4 linked regions of the Canis lupus familiaris genome follow. The protein of the gene in region 4 purifies or fractionates together with the protein of the main gene of each other region. This does not show direct contact. Links are inferred from orthologs where the notes say so. Each region holds a gene or a part of one and is shown on either strand. Other genes may lie near its edges.

Evidence for each region.
Region 1: the proteins of YAF2 (region 4) and BCORL1 purify together in Homo sapiens (affinity purification with mass spectrometry; 5 studies listed by BioGRID and IntAct, counting the BioPlex papers as one, with this or other methods). This does not show direct contact. The link is inferred for Canis lupus familiaris from reciprocal best matches to the Homo sapiens genes YAF2 and BCORL1.
Region 2: the proteins of YAF2 (region 4) and L3MBTL2 purify together in Homo sapiens (affinity purification with mass spectrometry; 5 studies listed by BioGRID and IntAct, counting the BioPlex papers as one, with this or other methods). This does not show direct contact. The link is inferred for Canis lupus familiaris from reciprocal best matches to the Homo sapiens genes YAF2 and L3MBTL2.
Region 3: the proteins of YAF2 (region 4) and MGA purify together in Homo sapiens (affinity purification with mass spectrometry; 5 studies listed by BioGRID and IntAct, counting the BioPlex papers as one, with this or other methods). This does not show direct contact. The link is inferred for Canis lupus familiaris from reciprocal best matches to the Homo sapiens genes YAF2 and MGA.

What each region holds. Positions count from the first base shown.
Region 1 is NC_049260.1:102,047,125-102,052,551, forward strand, and holds the start of BCORL1 (BCL-6 corepressor-like protein 1), read left to right. Parts: upstream 1-2,063; 5' UTR 2,064-2,206; intron 2,207-2,775; exon of another isoform or gene 2,776-2,924; intron 2,925-3,478; exon of another isoform or gene 3,479-3,656; intron 3,657-4,368; exon of another isoform or gene 4,369-4,554; intron 4,555-5,427. UniProt on the Homo sapiens protein: Transcriptional corepressor. May specifically inhibit gene expression when recruited to promoter regions by sequence-specific DNA-binding proteins such as BCL6.
Region 2 is NC_049231.1:24,974,357-24,980,064, reverse strand, and holds the start of L3MBTL2 (lethal(3)malignant brain tumor-like protein 2), read left to right. Parts: upstream 1-2,019; 5' UTR 2,020-2,150; coding exon 2,151-2,174; intron 2,175-3,983; coding exon 3,984-4,227; intron 4,228-5,637; coding exon 5,638-5,708. UniProt on the Homo sapiens protein: Putative Polycomb group (PcG) protein. PcG proteins maintain the transcriptionally repressive state of genes, probably via a modification of chromatin, rendering it heritably changed in its expressibility.
Region 3 is NC_049251.1:9,077,237-9,082,161, forward strand, and holds part of MGA (MAX gene-associated protein), read left to right. Parts: intron 1-354; exon of another isoform or gene 355-513; intron 514-1,896; coding exon 1,897-2,187; intron 2,188-2,367; coding exon 2,368-3,878; intron 3,879-4,925. UniProt on the Homo sapiens protein: Functions as a dual-specificity transcription factor, regulating the expression of both MAX-network and T-box family target genes. Functions as a repressor or an activator.
Region 4 is NC_049248.1:34,804,509-34,808,224, forward strand, and holds part of YAF2 (YY1-associated factor 2), read right to left. Parts: intron 1,835-3,716; coding exon 1,682-1,834; intron 842-1,681; coding exon 604-841; 3' UTR 1-603. UniProt on the Homo sapiens protein: Binds to MYC and inhibits MYC-mediated transactivation. Also binds to MYCN and enhances MYCN-dependent transcriptional activation. Increases calpain 2-mediated proteolysis of YY1 in vitro.

The sequences.
Region 1 (5,427 bases), on a different chromosome or scaffold from region 4:
CCTCCCATAGGGCAGGAAGTGTGGCCCCCAACAGGAAGGGCTCAGAGAAGCTGGAGCTTGAGCCAGGAAATAACCATCTTGCCCCAATGTTCATTTCACCAGATAAATGATGCAGCCAAATGGTGAGATACAGATGAATGGAGAACAGAGGTGTCCAGAATCCATTTCAGCCTCAAAGCAAAGAAAAAAGTAGCCCCAGGGCCCCAAGACCCTTAAGAGAAGTGGAAATTTAGTAATTACCAGATGAATTAAAATCAGCAAAGACAGCTAATTTAAATCAAAGCAGAATCGGTGGGGCCTGCATTATTAGGCCCAATAGAGGTGATCCCTCCGACCTTAATAATACCTTTAGAATTTGTATGTTGATTAGTTTAAAGGAATCTTTTTCAAATTTTCACTTTCCCTTGGTGCAACTTAGGTCAAACATTTTTTAAAGTGTGTGTGTGTTGGGGGCGGAGTATGTACAGGAGGGTGGGAATGACCAAGTAAGACAGCTAGGGAAGAAGTTCCCAAAGCAAGCAAAATGGCAAGTGATATGTTCACGTTGCTGGCAGTACATTTTGAGGCTGTTGAGGACAATCCAGAGGGGTCACAGAACACCAGGCCTTAGACAACAGAAAAGCCACTGCTACCTTTGTGGCTTACCCTCCTCCACAATACTCCTCCTTTAAACCAGGTGAGGGAGACATAACCGGCAAGTCTCACCTGCCATCTCTAAAGTCCTTTCAACAGAAAGAAGACACCCCATAGCTTAGAGATGGAACCTCTGTGGGCCTGGGACAAAAGAGGGGGGCAGGGAGGAGGAGGAGGAGGAAGACATTAATCCATCAGGGCTTCCTTCTAGTCCAAATGACCCTCTGGCTTCCTTAGTATAGATAAATATATAATAAATAATATCAATATATCTGCACATAAAGATTTTTTTTTCAAATTCCTGCTATTCATTTTGCATTCCGTGTTTACAAAGCCCTGAACCCTCCAGGAACTGCTGGGCACCTCCCCGAATACCCTCTATGCTGAGGCGATGCCTTTGAAGTCCCAACCACGGGTTCAGGGTTGGAGCTGCTAAGAAACACCCTAATACTGAAAGCAAGTCTGCCGTTAGCTTCAGCTCCTTCGCAAGCTACTCTCCTCCTCGGAGTTAATGTAAAGCCATCAGAGTTCCAATGTGGACCGCAGGCTTTTCAGCTCTTCAGTCCTGGGGTTGGCAGGATGGCCTGGGATGTAAACACATATGAGGATTTATTCCTTTGGCCAGGCGGGGAGTCATTAGAGTAAAGGGTAAGGGTCAAGGGGGCTCGGTTTGGTGACTGAGGAACCTGGGAGGGTGGGGGGGGGGGAGCGGGCAGAAGCCAAGAGTTTTCCTCGAGCCAGGTTTTCGGCCCCAAGTCGTTCAGGCTTCCCCATTTACAGACCTTTCATCCCCCTCCTCCTCCCTCCTCCCTCCTCCCTCCTCCCTCGGGCCTCTCGCTCCAGGCACCCCCTCCCCAAAGGTGCCTCCACGCTCGGGCCAGGGGCTATCCTTTGAAAGCAGCCCAGAGGGTTTGCAGCACCGAAGGTTGCCACGAAGGGTGGGCCGCTCGGGAGACGCGAGGCAAGGCAGCGAGCCCCGGCATTTCCCCTTCCCCGGCACCTGTCCCACTTCGGCGCCGGGGCTGGGGCTGCGCCCGCGGGCGGCCTCGGTGCACGAGCGCCAGAGCCTTGCACCGAGGTCGCCCGGGTTAGGGAAGTGGGGGGCCGGGGAAGGGGCGGGGCGTCCGGCGGGCGCGCGCCGCCCCTTGCATGCAAGACCCCACGCCCCCCCATATACGGAGGCTAAACGGAGATAGAGAGTCACACATAAAGCACGAGCGAAAACGCTCGCTCTCCGACCCCGAGCGGCGTTGCTCTCCGCCCCCCCCTTCCTGGAGCTGGGGGCTGGCCGGGGAAGGTGGCTCCGTTCTTCCCTCGTGGCCAGTGCGGGGTCTGTGGCTGCCCGGAGAGGTTCCGGCTTCCCCGGGGCTGGCAGGGGGAGCCCCGAGAACTGCAGGCCCGCCCCCCCTTCCTCCTCCTCCTCCTTCCCCTCCTCCCCCACGTGTCCTCCCGGAGCCCAGAGGCCTGATCCCAGCACCCCCCCGCCACCTCCCTCCTCCTCTCGCTTCGCCCGCTTCCCCGGCGGCGTGGAGAAGAGCAAAGTTGCGACAGCGGCCGGGGGGGCTCTGCCCAGGTGAAGGGGCGCCGTGGGGGGTGGGGGATGGCGCGGCCCTGCGGCGGGGGCGGAGGGAAGATAAAGAAACTTGCTTTCCGCGGCCCCCACCCCGCGCGGGTTCAGATCTTGCGTGGACCGAGCCCTCGTGGCGAGACGCGGCAACGCCGCTGGGACCGAGGCCGGCACCGGGAGCCAGACCCGGACCGCGCGCCTGGGCCGGCTCGGCGGGCGCAGGCAGCGGGCCAGGCCGGCACCCAGGCAAGGGCGGGGTGGGTGGCCGTACACTGGACCGAACCAGAGACTCCAGTGGCCTGGGCGCGGGCCGAACCCGGACCGGGCCGAGTTGGGTGGCGAAGTAGGACGTGGATTCGGGGGCGGGGCGCGGCGGGAGGGGGAAACCAGGCCCCGCCGGACTGGCCTGGGCGTGGGGGCGGGGGGCGAGTTCGGGGCACTTGCTGGGCTGGGGACCGAGCGGTAGGGCGGGGCGGCGCTAGGGGCTGGGCCGGACCCGCGGGGAGAGGGCGAAGGGGGGAGCCGGGGGTGGAGTAGGGGCGTGGAGTTGCGAGCGGGGTCTGGCCTCGGCCGGGGGCGAAGGTAGATCCGCGGGGCCGACAGCGGAGGGAGGGAGGCCCGCAGCGGCGCGGCGGCGGCGAAGGCCAGCTTCCGCGGAGTTTGTGCCCGGGCTTCCCGGGCTCCGGCCGCCTCACGCGCACAAATGGGGCTAGGGGACTGACTGGTAAGCAACTACGAGTGTTAGACGGTGTTTGGCGGCGATTCAGGGAAAAGCAAGGAAAGACACCGTCTGCATTTATGCCGCACCCCCCACCCACCTCCTAGCATCTGGATTTTGCTCTCAGGGGGCCGCGGACCCTCCTTACCACAACCCTTTCACTCTCCTGCACTCCCACCGGCTCCCCCCACTTCCTAGGCCATCTGACTCCCCTAGGGGTGTGTGTTTGAGGGTGGACGACGGCGTGGCGGGGGCGGCAGTATACTCTCCCTCCCGCGGCAGCAGCCTAGTTCGTATCTTATTCCTATATGTAGCGTCGCTTCGAGTCGTGTGGACATTTGGGTTAAGATAACGTACCCCCTTTTCCCCCTCAAGCGATTTGATGGCTTCTAAGGAAAGGGAGGAATCCCTGGGTTTCCACGCCTACAGCGAGGTTTGAGGATTGAGATTCACCCCCAGCTCACTTCCACTACCAACCCCACTTTCCTTGTAAGCCTTTTCCCCGGGGATCTGAACTTTGGGGGGGGGGCGGTATTAATGTGCTTCTCTTCTCTACACAGGGTCGGCGTGGCCAAGGACGGCTAGTCTCTGAGAGAAAGTAGCCACCAATCCAACTTGGGTCGCCCCCACTATTACTTCGGTGAGGGGGGCAACGCTAAGGAGATACTGGTGGGTAGCGACCCAGTATAAAGGAGGGGGCTGGGTAGTCGCCCCCGGAGGGACTCCGTTTCTTGTGAGGTAGGAAGAAGCGAGCCCAGGCTTCAGGGGAGGGTTCTGGAGAGGGGCATGGGGGGTGGCGACGACCGGGGCGGGGAAGAAGGGGGAGTCACGCCCTGCCAGCAAGGGGGCTTCCCTCAGGTCCCTGGGAGAAGGGGACTGAATGTCTGTTTTGTGCTGCCCGACAGGGGAGATCTGGGGTCTCTGGATTTGCACATTGGATCGGGCACCAGTGGCCTGAGAAAGTCAGGTCGGGGCATATGGTGGAGAGCCTTGGGGGGAAAGAAACAGAAACCCCTGGCCTTAGCGCCCTGATCTTTTCCTTTCCTCAATCTTCTCATTCGAGGGGCATTGAGGGCTGGGGGCGTGGGGCTCTTGCAGCCCCTAGGATTGAGCGCCTCCGCCTCTCCTGGGAGTCTAGCTTTTTGCCCGGCTTGCTGCAGCCACTGCTGCTGCCTCCCTCTCCGGAATCCGCTTGGTCCTCGCAGCGATCCCCTCCTCCTCCCCTCCCCTCCCAGTGTCACCGGGGCTGCTTGGCTCTGCCCCCTTCGCCGCCGCTTGCTCCCTGCTTTCGTCCCTCCCTCTCTCGCTCGCTCCCTCCCTTCGCCTCCACCTCCCCATTCCTCCCCCCCGACAGGTGGCATTCTGGGAGTTGTAGTCCCGTGGAGCGGCGGCTGGCGCCGCCCGCGAACCCCGCCGGACTCCACTTCCCGTCGAGCCCTGCGACCGGCACCCACTCCACCAGGCTTCGCTCGCACACACAGACACACACACACACCGCTCTCCCCCTCACTCTTTCGCTTGCCGCGGCTGCTGCCAGTGTGTGGCTCTGTCTCTCCTCCGCTTTGCCGAGCCCTCCCTTCTTCCTCTCAGTTCCTAGAGTCCGACCGCCGCCGCCGCCGAGAGAGAGGAGAAGGAGGTCGGTGGCGATAAGGGGCGGAAGGGGGGCATCAGATCGGGGCAGTATTAGGCGGGTGGAGGCTCAGAGTGGGTGAGAGGGAGCCCGGGTGGCGGCCTGAGCCTCCCCGCGGAGCCGACCCGGGAACAGGTGCGTCTTTTTTTTCTCTCCCCCAATCCCTCCACCCCTTTTGACTCCCCGGCTTTTTCGTATCCCCCCACCCGCTTCTTTCTATCTTAAGCCTTTCCTCAACCCTGTCCCTTCTTCGCCCCGCGGCCGCTCCGCTTGCCCCCCGGGGGCGCCGTCCTCTTCGTGTCCCCGGACGTAGCGCTCCCTGGAGCTCGCTCTGCCCTCGCCCCTCCCTTCGGGACAGCTCCCCTCCACTTCCACCTTCGTACCCCGTCCCTGCCCTACCCTACCCCCTCCTCACCCCCTTCTCCCTTAGCCAGGTGAGACTTGTTCGCCACGATCTGAGAGTCTTCTTCCTGGCTGGGCGGGGGTCTCCATGGAAACGGGGGTCGGGTTGATCCTGGGGGGGAACCATTGGAATTACCCCACTCCTCAGAAAGGGAGGTGGAGGCTACGGTCTTGTTAACTACCTGGCCCTAACAGCACCCCCCCACCTCGCCATCCAAGGATCCAGTGATCCGAAGGGAGGCTGGCCAGGAGGGCAGGGCGAGAAAGGGCTTGTTTTTTTGGGGGGGCGGCTGTCCGTGATGAAGTCTTGAAGAGACCTGGAGAAAATACCCTCCAACCTCTGAGGGGAGGTGCGACGGTTGCTCTTCAGGGCTGCTTTCTCCTCAGTGTTGGGGTGCGGAAACCATAGGGTAAGGGGTACCCCTAGGTGGCGGCGGGGCCTGGGTTCGGGAGTGGGAGTGCTGTGATGGGGGCAGG
Region 2 (5,708 bases), on a different chromosome or scaffold from region 4:
CAGTTCACACACACACAAAGCAAAAACAAAAAAAACAAAAAACGAAAAACCCACAAACAGTTCACAAGAGTCAGAGGAGCAAGCTACCTAATCCAGCACTCTGACTTTAAGAAGGTTGGAATCCTTAGACTTATTATCTATCTCTTTAGCACCTAGTAGATGCTAGGCTCTGTTCTTGGCTCGGGAAAAAGAGTAGAGAACAAGACAAAGTCCCTGCCCTTATGGGGCTTACATTCCAGTGGTGCGAGATAGACAATAAAGAAATAGACAAGTGAAGAAGATAATTTCAGACAGGAACAAGTATTATAAAGAACTGTAAATTGGGTGAAGGGATACTGAGTGAGGGGAAAGAAAAGCTATTCTAAATAAAGTTCTGAGGAGGTGACTTTGAACTGAAATTTGAGAAATGAAGAACCATCTCTGAGAAAAGCCACAGAAAGAATGCCCCACAAAGAGCATCAAGTGCAAAGGCGTTGAGGCAAACTCAAGCTTCGCAGTCAAGAAGTGAGTGGATGGATGCAGTGAGAGGTGGAGAGGGTAGCACAGAAGCAGGGTTTGTTCTTTTTTTTCTTTCTTTTTTTTTTTTCTTTTTTTTTCTAATATTTTATTTATTCATGAGATACACGAGAGGCAGAGACACAGGCAGAGGGAGAAGCAGGCTCATTGCGGGGAGCCTGATACAGGACTGCATCCCAAGACCCATGGTATCATGACCTGAGCCAAAGGCAGACACTCAACCACTGAGTCACCCAGGTGCCCAGTACAGCAGCTGGTTGAAGAGAAAACTGGGGCCAGGTCATTCAGGGGCTTATGGAATGTTTGAATTTTTTTGAAAGTGCAGGGGGAAGCTAATGGAGGTTTTAAGCAAGGGGATGAACATGATCTGGCTTATGATTTAAAAGATCACCTGTATTAAAGAAAGTGAAAAGTCAAACAGGGACCTGTTTGAGGCCTATTGTGCTGGACTGGTGGCTTCCATGAGGGTGATAGTGGAGGAGGAATTCAGGATACATTTTGGCTGTAGAACCAACAATACTGGTTGATAGCATGAATATGGGGTTGGTGGCAGAAGGAGTTAAAGAAAAGAAAAATCAAAGACTTTCACATCTATGTGGTGGACCTCAAATTTAGAAATATTTTTAACATATATTCAGCCTCCATTTATTACATTTAGATTCTTTTTTTTTCTTTTGTCTATTTTTTTTCAGTTTATTTTTTAAAAATCTCTACACTCAGTGGAGCTCCAACCAATGATCCTAAGATCAAGTGCCTCAAGATCCTCTGACTGCGCCAGTCAGGCGCCCCTACATTTAGATTCTTTTTTTTTTTTTTTTTTTTTTTTTTTTACATTTAGATTCCTAATTCATTAGAGCACCGCATAGCACAGGGAAAGAACCTGGACTAAACCTTAAATTCCAATTCTTAGGTTCCAATTCCAACCTTAAATCCCAATTCCAAAGAGCCACAGATTCATCTTTAATAGGGTGATGGGCTGTCTCCAGATTTGAGCTGTTGTGTAAAAAGCTCCACCAGAGCACCTAGAACTGAGTGTTCAAGGAGGTTGTGAGACATCCAAAATGAGGGAGGCAGAGTGCCTCATACTCGAGGTTTTATTCAGGGGATGATGATGGAGGGACAATGTTACAGGATTTGGAGCATGTGAGGCATTTATAGCACTGGGCATAAGAGCAATCCGCTTTCTGCCGGAATTGGAAATGCGTTTCTTTGCAAGTCGTCCTGGCCCAAGGGCACCTTAAAATTCTTCTAATCTGTCATTCCTGGTGCCTAGAACAGCACCTATCGTACGTGCTCAAGAATTGTTTGCTAAAGAACGGAGTAGGGCTGAGAGGTGGAGGTTAGCGCAGAGAAACGAGGTCTGCCGCAGTGCCGCAGGGATTTTCACATCGCTATAGCAACGCACCCTTCCACGCGCACCCACAGGGGAACTACAAGTCCCACAAGTACCCGCGGCTTCCCCGCCCCCCCCGGGGCTGGGGCGCGGGCGAGCGCGGAACCGGCTTTTCCTTTTTCCTGCAACGTGATTGGCCCGCGGCTCTGGGAGGCGGCCAATGACTGCGCTCAGGAAGAGCCGCGAGGCCAATATGGCTTCCTGCACCTGGTGACGGTTGAAGAAACGGGTGTTAGGTCTCATGGAGAAGACGCGGGGCGTCGAGGTGAGAGGGGGAGGATTTATCGTGACCGGGAAAGGGAAGCCCTTGAGCCTCGCACGGGGGGCCGTTCTCGAGGCCTTGGGGCGACGCCTGGAGGGTGGAGAGTGGAAGGATGGATAAACTGAGGTAGTTAGGCTGAGCAGGGCCAGAGGCGATTGGCGTTGCCTTTTGCGCCCACACCGCTGGGGCCGACGTCCCGCGAGTAGGTCGGGGCGGAACAGCCTCCCTGGCCTGCGGGAACGGGAACTGGGTTCAGGATCTGGGAGCTCCTGGATCTTCTTTGTCCTCCCTCTCTCTGGTCGTTTCTTTGGGGATCAGGAGGCCTGTGACATCCTGGTGGGACGTGAGGGAGATTCAAGTTTCCTGCCACTGCGTGTCTGGAGCGTTCACGGGCATTATCGCCCGGGATACTCACAACAATCCTGTGTCACTGTTTCGTTGTTATGGTTGGAGTAGCCGACGCTTACAGCCAGATGGTGCCCCCCAGGAGGGCCACCCAACCGCAGCGGGAAGGAGATGGGCACCCAGTCGTTCAGGCTCCCCAGCCTTTCCCACTCTCCTGCAACCTGTAACCCACTCACCCCTGGGTCACTTGGCTTCTGGTCACCTTGTATTTAAATTCGGTCTCTTCTTTAGCACATTTGGGGACGTAGTTGTAAACCTGAAAATGGAATAGCCCCCAAACTGTAAAGGGTAAAGGAGAATAAGCACTCACGCGTTTACAGCCCTCCCTAATGGCTAGAAACAACTAGGCTTTACACATCTCAGTCTTCATTCGAGTTATCTGAAGAAGGCCTGCTGTTACCTCTCTTGTACTGATGAAGAAACTGAAGAAACAGGCTCAGTATGTTGCACAAAATCACAATTGAGTGGTAGAGCCAGGATTCAGGCAAATCTGGTTGAAAAGCCCCATGCTTTTACCCAGAAATAATTGCCAGTATGTCTTGAATACTTGCAAGGCACTGTTTTGAGTACAACACTTATATTCACTCTTATTTCTCCCGCAAAGCTTCTGAAGGAGGTAGTTTCCTCATTTACAGAGGTGGGAACTGATGCACCAAGAGACTGACTTGCTGCAGATCATACAGCTGGTCAGCGGTAGAGATGGTATTTGAGCCCTGGCCTAGGACCTTTTCTACTACATTCCTTCCAGGTGGATTGATAGACAGTATCTCATTTACATTTCACATCCTGTGAGCTACTTATTTCACAGATCAAAAAGTTGAGGCCCAGAGGAGTTAAATGACTTGCCCAAAGACCCACAGCTAGTTAGGATTGGAGCAGAGTCCAGAGCTATGGTACATACATACACTGTGCGATAACTAGTGTGTCCTCTGTCTCCTAGATCCTCCTCAGGGTAGGATCCGCGTCCCAAATTGACTTTTCTGTGGCTGAAATGGTTTCCGAATTGACACTGTGTTGATGTACATATGCTGAAGGGGGGAAGTTGATTTTCTAACATACATCTTCCCCCAGAAAGTCTTCATGAGATAACAGAGTATTTTCACATCATCGTATTCTATTTGAATCAAGTTAAAACATCATCATTTATAAATACACAGGAGGAGCTTGGTGAATTCCTGATATTACCTGTTTTGTTAAACTATCCTGATGAGTTTCAGTTAAGAACTATATAAACAGGAGTAATGATCCTGGTGTTTGCAAAAGGGATATTTGATTCTGCCTGCCACTTGGTCCAAAGGTGTTGACCAAGACCTGGAAAAGATGCTGGTAGCTGACCTGCATCCTTCTTCCCCATACACTAAGCTAGACCTGATTCCTCCAGCCTGGTTTGTGTCATCCTTCCACTAGGAGACTCCATCTTCAGAACCTATGGAAGAGGAAGAGGAAGAGGAGGACGACTTGGAGCTCTTTGGTGGCTATGACAGTTTCCGGAGCTATAACAGCAGTGCGGGCAGTGAGAGCAGCTCCTATCTAGAGGAGTCAAGTGAAGCAGAAAATGAAGATCGGGAAGCAGGGGAGCTGCCCACCTCCCCGCTGCATTTGCTCAGTCCTGGGACTCCCCGCTCCTTGGATGGCAGTGGTTCTGAGCCAGGTGCTTTCAGAGTGTCCCCTGAAGACGGGGAGGTTTCAGGAGGCTATAGAGGAAGAGGGGAATATAGGCCATGTGGGCAGAGCCATCCAGGTGTAAAAAAAGCTGTTTGATCTTAAGTCTAAGGGCCTATGAACTAGACAGAAGTAGCCCCAAGGGACTACTACTAATTTCCTTTGCTGCAGTCTGATTTCAAATGACTATTTCCTTTGTTCTTTCATACGACTAATACTTATTTGGCACACGTTAGATGCCAGTCATTAATATGGTACTGCTTTTACATTTGTGTGAATAGGTGCTTGATTTTTAAGCCTGGATGGCTTTTGTTTTGTTTTCTTTTTTATTTATTCATGAAAGACAGAGGCAGAGAGAGAAGCAGGCTCCATGCAGGGAGCCCAACATGGGACTCGATCCCGGGTCTCCAGAATCACACCCCGGCCTGCAGGCGGCGCTAAACCGCTGTGCCACCAGGGCTGCCCTTAAGCCTATGCTCTGATTTACTATCTGGGAAAGGACAAGAAATAGTTTGTGGGTTGGACGTGAGGGGGGAAATTAAAGAAGGGTGGAAATTAAAGAATCAAGTGACTTCCTGGGGAAAGAATTACTGATGAGACTCCTCATGGAGCATCTGGAAGCCAGTTAACTTCGGAGCTGTGCTGTTTGGACAGCTTCTGGATGGATTCCTGTGTCAGGGCCCCCAGTGTGTGGACTGCCTGTGAAGAGAGATGGGCTAGATGTCCGTAAGGAACAGACCCTGTTCCTTAGTGCCTGCACTCTTTAGAAGAGTGATCTAATACTCTGCCACTTTTCCTTTCCATCTACTTGTCTTCTCTTCCTCCTTCCCCCACACCACCCTTTTAATCTTCTATCTTCTTCCAAACATTCTCGTAGAATCTTAGAACTTTGGAACTAGAACCATTAGAGACCGTTGAGTCCAGGGGTTCTCTCTCGTGGCTGTCCATTAGGATCACCAGTAAATTAGACTCTCAGGCTTGGATATTTTTTAAGCTACTTAGGTGATTCTAATACAATGTTAGAATTGAAACGTTGATCTAGTTCAGTTTTTTTATAGATGAGAAGAAAAGAGATCCACAGAAGTCAGGTGATGTGGGCACTGTTTTTCTTCTTGTTTTCCTCTTTACAGACTTTCCAACATCCACCTGTTGCTCTATGGATTTTCCTTACCTCTACTGTTAACATATAGCCAAGGGATGCCAGGCAGCTTATCTTAGGCAAAAGAGATTCAGTTGTGCACAAACCTCCTGCTCCTGTTCCAGCTCTGTCAGTCAGGCTAAGGACTGAGACTCACCTGATTAATGCATTGTTCAAGTTTTCAAGGGAAAATGTTCAAATCATTTTGCTTGATTTGGGGTGATTGTATCAGGTGGGTCATGTGCTGAGTTCTCTTTCCAGCTGTCTGTGAGATGTGTGGTATCGTGGGTACAAGGGAAGCCTTCTTCTCCAAGACTAAGAGATTCTGCAGC
Region 3 (4,925 bases), on a different chromosome or scaffold from region 4:
TTTCCTTAAATGTATTTTTAAAAGGAGCAATTTTACTGTAATTGGAAACCAACATTATTTGAGTAACAGAGGTTCACTCCATAAATACACTAGAAACAATAATAGTAAGAAATATATTTTAGCTAGCTACCATATGTTAACATGTGGCTTGCACTCTGTTAATGAAGAAAGCTAGAAAATGCTGATACGATATCAAAGACTAGTATTTTCTTCTGTATACAATCAGAAGATTCAAATTGAGAAAGAAAATACTTTCTGACAATGTGATATGGTGGTATTCTTATTCTGTATCCATCTAAGAATATTTTCCATAATACCACTTGAGGAACTATTAATGTTAACAAATTTTCTTACCTGCTTTTTAAAAGTGGAGCTGACTCTGGTAACTTCTATTTCTAGGTATGTGTAATTTTGTTCTAGGTTTATAAAGAGGATCTCAACTTGGGCACTTAGACATCTGTGACTTTTTCATTTAACTTCCCTTCTTTTTCTCTTTTCCGTTCTTCCCCTTACCTGCATGTGAATAAATAATCACATATTTAGTGTATGTGCTAAAGGCTGCTTTCATTCTCTGAATTAGAGTACTTTGGAATTGAATCACTCTCTAAAATGTTTTTTGAATAGAAATGTTCAGGAAATTAAGAATGTTTTAACGTGTTTTTTAATTCACATAAGATAAATGTTTTTTGTTTAAATTGCATACTCCTCCCCGCCCTGCCCCACCCTGCCCTGCCCTGAACAGTTTGGTCTTTGCATTTTATTTTTAAGAATAGTTTTGGATCTTATATATAATTTGTCATGTAAACGTTAGGAGCATAACTTCCTTTTACAAGTTTGATATTTTTGTGGGTAGAGTGCTTACCTGATACATTTTGTGGGTATGAGTTCTTATCTAATAGAATGTCACGTGTTAAACTGATTTGGTTGGTTGTTTGATTTTTCTATTTAGTGACAAACTAATAAAAATGTTTAATAATATTAACTAAGTTCACTAATTTGAATGTTAATGTTAGTTTCCTTTTTGCTTGCTATTATCGCTACTCCTTTTTATCCCCATGGCCAAAATCTGTAGACTACTCATAATCTTTTTTTCTGTGTCTTCAGTATTTCTAAATATCTCTTCCAAACATTAAAGTGGGTCTTTAGATGCTATTAATGGTTTGAAATTTTTTTAAATTCACATCTTCTGCATTAAATTTTTGCTTTTTCTGTTTGTTTTAAAACTATCTTTTGCCTCTTCCTAACCAGGCTTTATTTCCCTGCTTCTTTGATGTCTCTTAATTTCATTCCATTTTTTGGGGGTATGTATTTTTTTTTTCCTTCTGAAAAATAATTTCCACAGATCTTTATGCTTTATTTGTCAGTGAATTTTAAAAGCCAAGGAATTTTTTTATGCCTCATGACTTTTAGTCCTTGACTTTATCTTACTTGAGTATGACCTGTGAAATGAAGTCATAATTCTAGTAAGTGTTAACAACCTGAATTACAAGGTTGAAGAAGAGAATTTTATAAAGAATGACCTGTTTAATTTTAATGAGAATCCAGATTTAAAGACCTGCTGTGTTTTTCATTAGGCAGAGGCATTGTTTCTTTAAATGCACCTCTTGACAATTGATGCACGAGCTCTCTCTGTCTCTCTCTTCCTTTTTTTTTTTTTTTAAACCATTCTGAATGTAAGGACCTACAATGTCTGGTTGATAATTGGTTTTAAGATAAATTGTTCTCAGCCATAGGACTATTAAGTAATGTATGATAGAGATGTAGGATTTCACCAACTATATAAATCAAATTAGAAGTTATCTGTAATGTGGTCAAATCCTATGTCATAATAATTTTTTCCTACATGTATTAAAGGGGAAATTCTCTGATACTATGTTTCCATTTCCTGTTTTTCAGAAAATGCCCCTCAGATTCCAGTGGCTACTCCCCAGGTCTCTCCTAACACAGTGAAACGTACTGGACCTCGATTGTTACTGATTCCAGTGCAGCAAGGTTCTCCTACTCTTAGACCTGTCCCAAACACACAACTTCAGGGGCATCGGATGGTCTTGCAGCCTGTTAGGAGCCCAAGTGGAATGAATCTATTCAGGCATCCTAATGGGCAGATTGTTCAGCTACTCCCTTTGCATCAGCTTCGAGGCTCTAATACCCAGCCCAACTTACAGCCTGTCATGTTTCGGAACCCAGGTATAAAATTGGAGATCTTTCTGATGAATTTTTCTTTTGTTGAATCATTTGGCCATATGGCTTGTTAATACACCAGGATTTCTTAGTCTCTTTGAGTTAACCAGTCCAAAAAGAAAAGCATATGCTTGGGAATCTTGATATGGAGTGGTAATAATTCAAAAAAATTTTTTTTCTTACCAGGCTCTGTGATGGGAATCCGGTTACCCACTCCTTCCAAACCTTCAGAGACTCCACCATCTTCTGCTTCATCCTCTGCTTTCTCTGTTATGAATCCTGTAATTCAAGCTGTTGGGTCTTCTCCAGCAGTGAATGTTATCACTCAGGCACCATCATTGCTTTCTTCTGGACCTAGTTTTGTGTCTCAGTCTGGTACATTGACCCTGAGGATTTCCCCTCCTGAACCACAAAGCTTTGCAAGTAAAGCAGGCTCTGAAACCAAAATAACCTATAGCTCAGGAGGGCAGCCTGTTGGTACAGCCAGTCTTATTCCTCTCCAGTCTGGTAGTTTTGCTTTGTTGCAGCTCCCTGGACAAAAGCCTGTTCCCAGTTCCATTCTTCAACATGTTGCTTCTCTTCAGATGAAGAGAGAGTCCCAGAGTGCAGACCAGAAAGATGAAACAAGCTTTTTGAAAAGAGAGCAGCAGGACACTAAGAAGACTCTACAGTCAGAAGGAGAAGCTATAGATTCTGAAGCTAATATAATAAAGCAAAACTCAGGAGCTGCTGCCTCAGAAGAAATCCTACATGATTCCTTGGGAGATGGGGGTGATCATTTAGATGAAGAATCCCTTACAGAAGAGGGTCCTATAACTGTTAAACCTTCTCAGCCCTCCTGTATCACTGCTTCACACATAGTAGGTGAAGACTATAAAGATGATGAAGAGTATGGGGTTAGAAATGAAAATAGTTCCAAAGAAAAGCGGACTCTCCTAGAAGTTAAGACTATTTCCAAAAAAGCCAGCAATGTGACAGTCCAAAGTGTAAATAGTGTACAGCTTAAAAAGCTTGGTGATGTAAAAGTGGAACAGCAGAAAGGATTAGAAAATCCAGAGAAAAAATCGAATGAATTTCCAATCATCTCTAAGGAAGACAGTAAAATTGAATTATCAGGCAACAAAGTTGTGGAGCAGCAATCTATTCCACAGCCAGAGGGCAAGGAGAAGGGATGTGGAGACTCTCTGGAAAAGGACGATATTAGGGAGAGATGGAGAAAACACCCAAAGGGCCCTCTGACCCAGAAATGTGTTGGAACTTCACAAGAATGCAAGAAAGAGGCAGATGAGCAGTTAATTAAAGAAATAAAGACTTGTCAGGAAAATTCTGATATGTTTCAACAAGAAGGCATTCCTGATCTACTTGGAAAAAGTGGAACTACTGAAAATGTCAGAGTTTTAAAAACTGAATGTGATTCTTGGAGTAGGATTTCTAGTCCTACAGCCTTCTCCATTGTTCCGAGGAGAGCTACAAAAGGGAGCAGAGGGGAAGGACATTTTCAAGGTCACTTACTGCTGTCAGAACAGATACAACCAAAGCAAGAGACGAAGGGTGGGCGAAGCAGTGCTGACTTGACTCTTTTGGATTTGGAAGATGAGGACGAGGAAGATGAGAATGAGAAAACCGATGATTCTATTGATGAGATTGTGGATGTTGTTTCTGACTACCAGAGTGAGGAGGTTGATGATGTAGAAAAGGTGGTGAGCCCATTTTTGTTGTGACTGAAACCTCAAGAATTTAAATGATTTATTAGAGACCTTAGCTTTTCCAGAAGATCACTAAGACCTGAATTGGATGCCTAGGTTTAGATCATTATTAAATGACTGTAGTTTTTAAGGCTGTGTCAGTCAGGTAACATTTATTGAGCTTATATTCTTTGACAGTTGCCTGCTATTATGGGAAGGCTGGCTTATGCTTTTGGGGGATAGATGCTTGATAGTCCCTTTCAAGTTAGGTTTAAAAAAAGAATCCTGAAAGTCCTATTCCCATTTGCTCTCATTTAGTTGTTTGTTTTTTGTTTTGACATTTTCTGTGTGAAGTGATTATAGCCTATTTGGTAGATGTATAAAAAATAGGGATTGGGTGACCTTAGAACTAGAAGAGGACATAACTACCTACATTTAGAGAGATGTTTCTCTTTTTGGAGAAAAATGGAAAATACCATTTAATATTTTAAAATCACCCTGCCTTAAGTTGCTTTTTAATTACCTTCTAAAATTAAATAGTTTCTAGAGTTTATATTCAGAACTTTGGTCATCTTCCTTTGTGAATGACCCTTTGTAAGTTTTACAGATTTTTTTTTCCTGAAGCCATTTTTGTAGCCTTCCTGTTTAAGGTTATAACCTTATTTAAGTGAGAAACAGATAAGATACTGGGCAGGAGTTGGACAAACTTTTTCTGTAAAGAGCTAGATTGTTAACATTTTAGACTTTGCAGGCTGAATGGCTTGCTGTTGAAACTGCTCAGTTGCTGTTATAGTGTGAAAGCAGCCATAAACAATAGTAAGTGGAAGAGTGTGGCTGTGTTCCAATAACACTTTTATTTACAAAAACAGGTGGCAGACTGGTTTGCTGACTCCTGACAATGGGGTTTAATGTAAAACTGTAGCCAGCTGCTTGTAGGGTGCCCTCAAATCTAAATGGTGTCCCTCTCATTAGATGCAGATAATATGGCCCTCTGTGGCGATTGCATGGAATCTCACTTCATGAGATTCAGCCTCTATGTTGTTACAGAATCTCACTTTA
Region 4 (3,716 bases):
GAAACATAATTCAGGAACAATAATTTAGTAAAATGTGTCAAAAACATTGGCAACGGTTCATACAAATTCTTTATTTAATAACAATTTTTCCTATTTAACCACACCAAGTACCAGCAGGTGTATTTAAGAGGATAACCATTAAGAAAATCCTGTTGCAGCAATAGTTGATTAAGTTGATCTTTGACTTGTATACATATAACTATTTGTTTCACAATTCTCAAATAATACATATTTAGGCAGCTTGCACTATGTTATAAAAATTTAAATTCGTTACATGCCAATAGTAGAGAATTCAAGAATTATGTGTTAGAATTCACTAAACTAAAAGTGAAAATAGACTTACCAATAACACTGCATAATGAATAATTCAACCACATTTTCATGGCACCTTGAACTGTGGAGACCAAAATGTCAAGTCTGAAAATGTTTGGTAAGCATAGATTGCAATAAAGTCTAACAAATTCTAACAAATTTCTATTCTGTGTAAAACGCAAATTATGGATTGTGCGTGAATGTTTGTCATGAAAATGTGGTACTTCTTGGCATAATCTGTGTATTTGCATGTTATGACAGAAGTGACTAAGAAATTGGAGAAAATAAACTTTAATGAGATTCTCCATTCAATGATGAGGCTTCTCCTCTGGGTGAAGATGACCTGGACATTCCCCTCTCTGTATTATCAGAGCTAGAGCCACTCTGACTGTGTTGATCTGCAGAAGCAGCACTAGATGCAGGCGGTGACTTCGTTTTCTCCTTAAAGTCTGTAATAATGACTGTCAGATCTCCAACGGTAACTTCCAAATGCTGAGCACTACTCCGATCCACATTTTTCAATCTTGGCCTAAATACAAAAGATGGTAAAATTTTAAACTCTCTTCTCTCTACCAACTTTCAAACATATAATGCATAAATTGTGTAAGAATAACAAAATGAATACATCTATATTTAAAGCTCCAGATTCATAAATAACTAGCCACAAAAATATAATTAAATGTTTCAAATCATTAACGTTAATCGAACCCATCAATGATGAATCTTCTTCAACATGACAAACTGATACCCTGGAAGCAATGGTCTCTTAATTGTGCTTTTATAGCTTTATCATAATTTTTCAGATAGCTAATCAATTTTACTAAGATAAATGTTTTAGGAAAGCAATGACATAGTTGGATCACAGAGTAAGTTGGTAACAGTTAAGGCTGTGTTATACGTAAGGCTGTTATTCCAGAGATGTGCACTGTTAAAAGCATCATGATTATCTGTTCTGCTTGTATCCATGAAGATTTTAACTGCTTAAAGCCCATGCAAATATCTGTTCGGTACTGTGAATATCACTCTTGGCTTCATGGTTGGAAAAGAATAAGCTCAAACACAAATGTCTTTGAATCTAGTAAACAAAACAAAAAGCAAAAGCAAAAGCAAAAGCAAAAGAAAAAGTAAAAGTAAAAGTAAAAGAAAAAGAAAAAGAAAAAAAGCATCCTTACATTTAAGCGTATAATGGTGGCCTCTGTGTTTAATTTCTAATCTATCTCTCAAACTCAGAAAAACATGATATTTTATAATAAAGGAGCTGAAATCTTTTATTTCCACTTTGTATAAGAATATATCAATGTAAAAAAAAGAATGTTAAATGGTTCATTTTATTATTTCACAAGTGCCATAAAACACTCTTCAAATTTACCTGGTTTTCTTATGACTGTTCTTTTTGCTAGTTGTTTCCTTTTCACTTTTTTCTTTTTCTACTTTATCTTTTTTCTCTTTCTTTGACTGTGTAGGGGGCACAAACTGCTGAGTAACCTGCTGGGCAACCAACTGGGAGACAGGTCGAGGCTTCCTGTGCGCATGTTAAAAAGAAAGGTTTTTTTTTTTATTATAACTAAGAATATATATTCTTTATGAAAATAGCTCAAATTTTAGATATATGACATGATTTTCAAATAAAAAAATTCTTCATGTGAGATAATATGCAATTTAACAGATTTTACACACATACACACACAAATTATTGTCTTTCCTATCTAACAAAAAAGAACTATAATAACAGCAAAAGTTATAGCCCAAAATATATGGTCACACCATTAAAATATAACCATTACATAAATCAATGTGAAAATTATTAAAAAAGTATATCAAACTGAATGCTTATAGGGCAGCACACATATAAACAAACATGAATCCTAAAATTAAACTTAAAAATTTATACTGAAATAATGTTTACATTATCCCTTCTCTCTCATAGAAGGAAATATTTAACCATCCGTGACAATGGCTATTTATTCTTTCCTCTAAAATCTTTCATTTATTCATTTAATAAATATTTGAGTATTAAATTTTCTCACTCTTTATTGCTAAAATTTCTTGAGGTTCCTTATATCTCTAGCCACAATCTTGCCATGCTTTTTGTGACCCTGACAATCTGCCCAGTCCTTTGAGACTTGCCTACTTACTCACTTATTCATTTAAAAAATACTGAAAACCTATTGTAGATATTGCGCCAAGATATCTGAAATGTTGTTTGGCTTCACCCTTTGGTGCCAGTACAAAGCTGTGACTCCACTGACCCAGGGTCAAGGATCCCTCCAGCTTTATGGTAGAACATGGGAAGTGAGGTCAAGATTCAAAGTAAACAATCTCTAAATTCTTAAACTGAGAGACAGAAAGAAGACTGAGGAGGAGAAGGAAGAGAAGTAAAAAAGTAAGGGAGAGGAAGATAAACATACATTTTTACAGACAGTCTACAAAAAACACAGTAATTTTATTGCCTGGAAAATCCTGACCCTATTTCAATCAGAATTATTAAAGGATCTTTCTGATATTGCTGTTCCTCTAAAACAAGACAAAATAGAAACCAATGAGAAAATACTGCACTGTCTACAATTCAAAGCTGTAAGGAGGAATCTTTTGAAGGAGTAAGTAGGAAACACAGCATATAAAAAACAGGTTTCAGTAGATGGATAATGAATTTTGTTTAAAGCCCACAGAGCCTAAAGTACAGAAGGAATATCCAAGAAAGATGTTCAGCATAATTTAAGAAATAGGGTTGATAAAAGTATCAGAGTTAATGATGTAGACTAAGAGTCACACAAATAAAAGTGATATTTAGCATGGTAATTAATGGCTGAGCTTGGTAAGGAAATAAATTTTCTAAAGAATAGATTAAAACAATGGTTCCTAAATTTAAGGTACATCAGGATCCCCTGGAGGGCCTGTTAATAGCTTGCTTAGCCCTACTCCCAAGGTTTCTAATTCAGTGGGCCCTAAGGTGGAGCCTAATTTGCATTTCTAAGTGGTTTCTCAGTTAGCTGATGCCTCTGATCTAGTCCATACTTCACAAAGAAGCTTGAAGAAGTACAATATATAGGTATTACGGTTGTATAAAGTTTGAGATGGAGAGTGGGGAGTGACAAGGGAATGGAAGAAAAAAAAAAGCAAGGCTAAATGGATGGGAAGGAATCCAATAATGAAGAGCTAAGGAGTGTGACTTACTCTTAAAAGATGGGAGATTGAGAAAAAAAAAAAAGGACGGGAGATCACAAAAGAATTGAATTTTACAAAGATTACTGGCACCGGCAGCAGTCTGAAGGGGAAAGGTACTACAGTGGCAGAGAAATTGTTAGGAAAGCTACTAAGAGATTAGGGGATAAAAGGCTTGAACTAAGGAAGCAGCACTTATTTAAGACAGGCTAAAGTAGTAAAATCAAAGAAACAAGTAACTA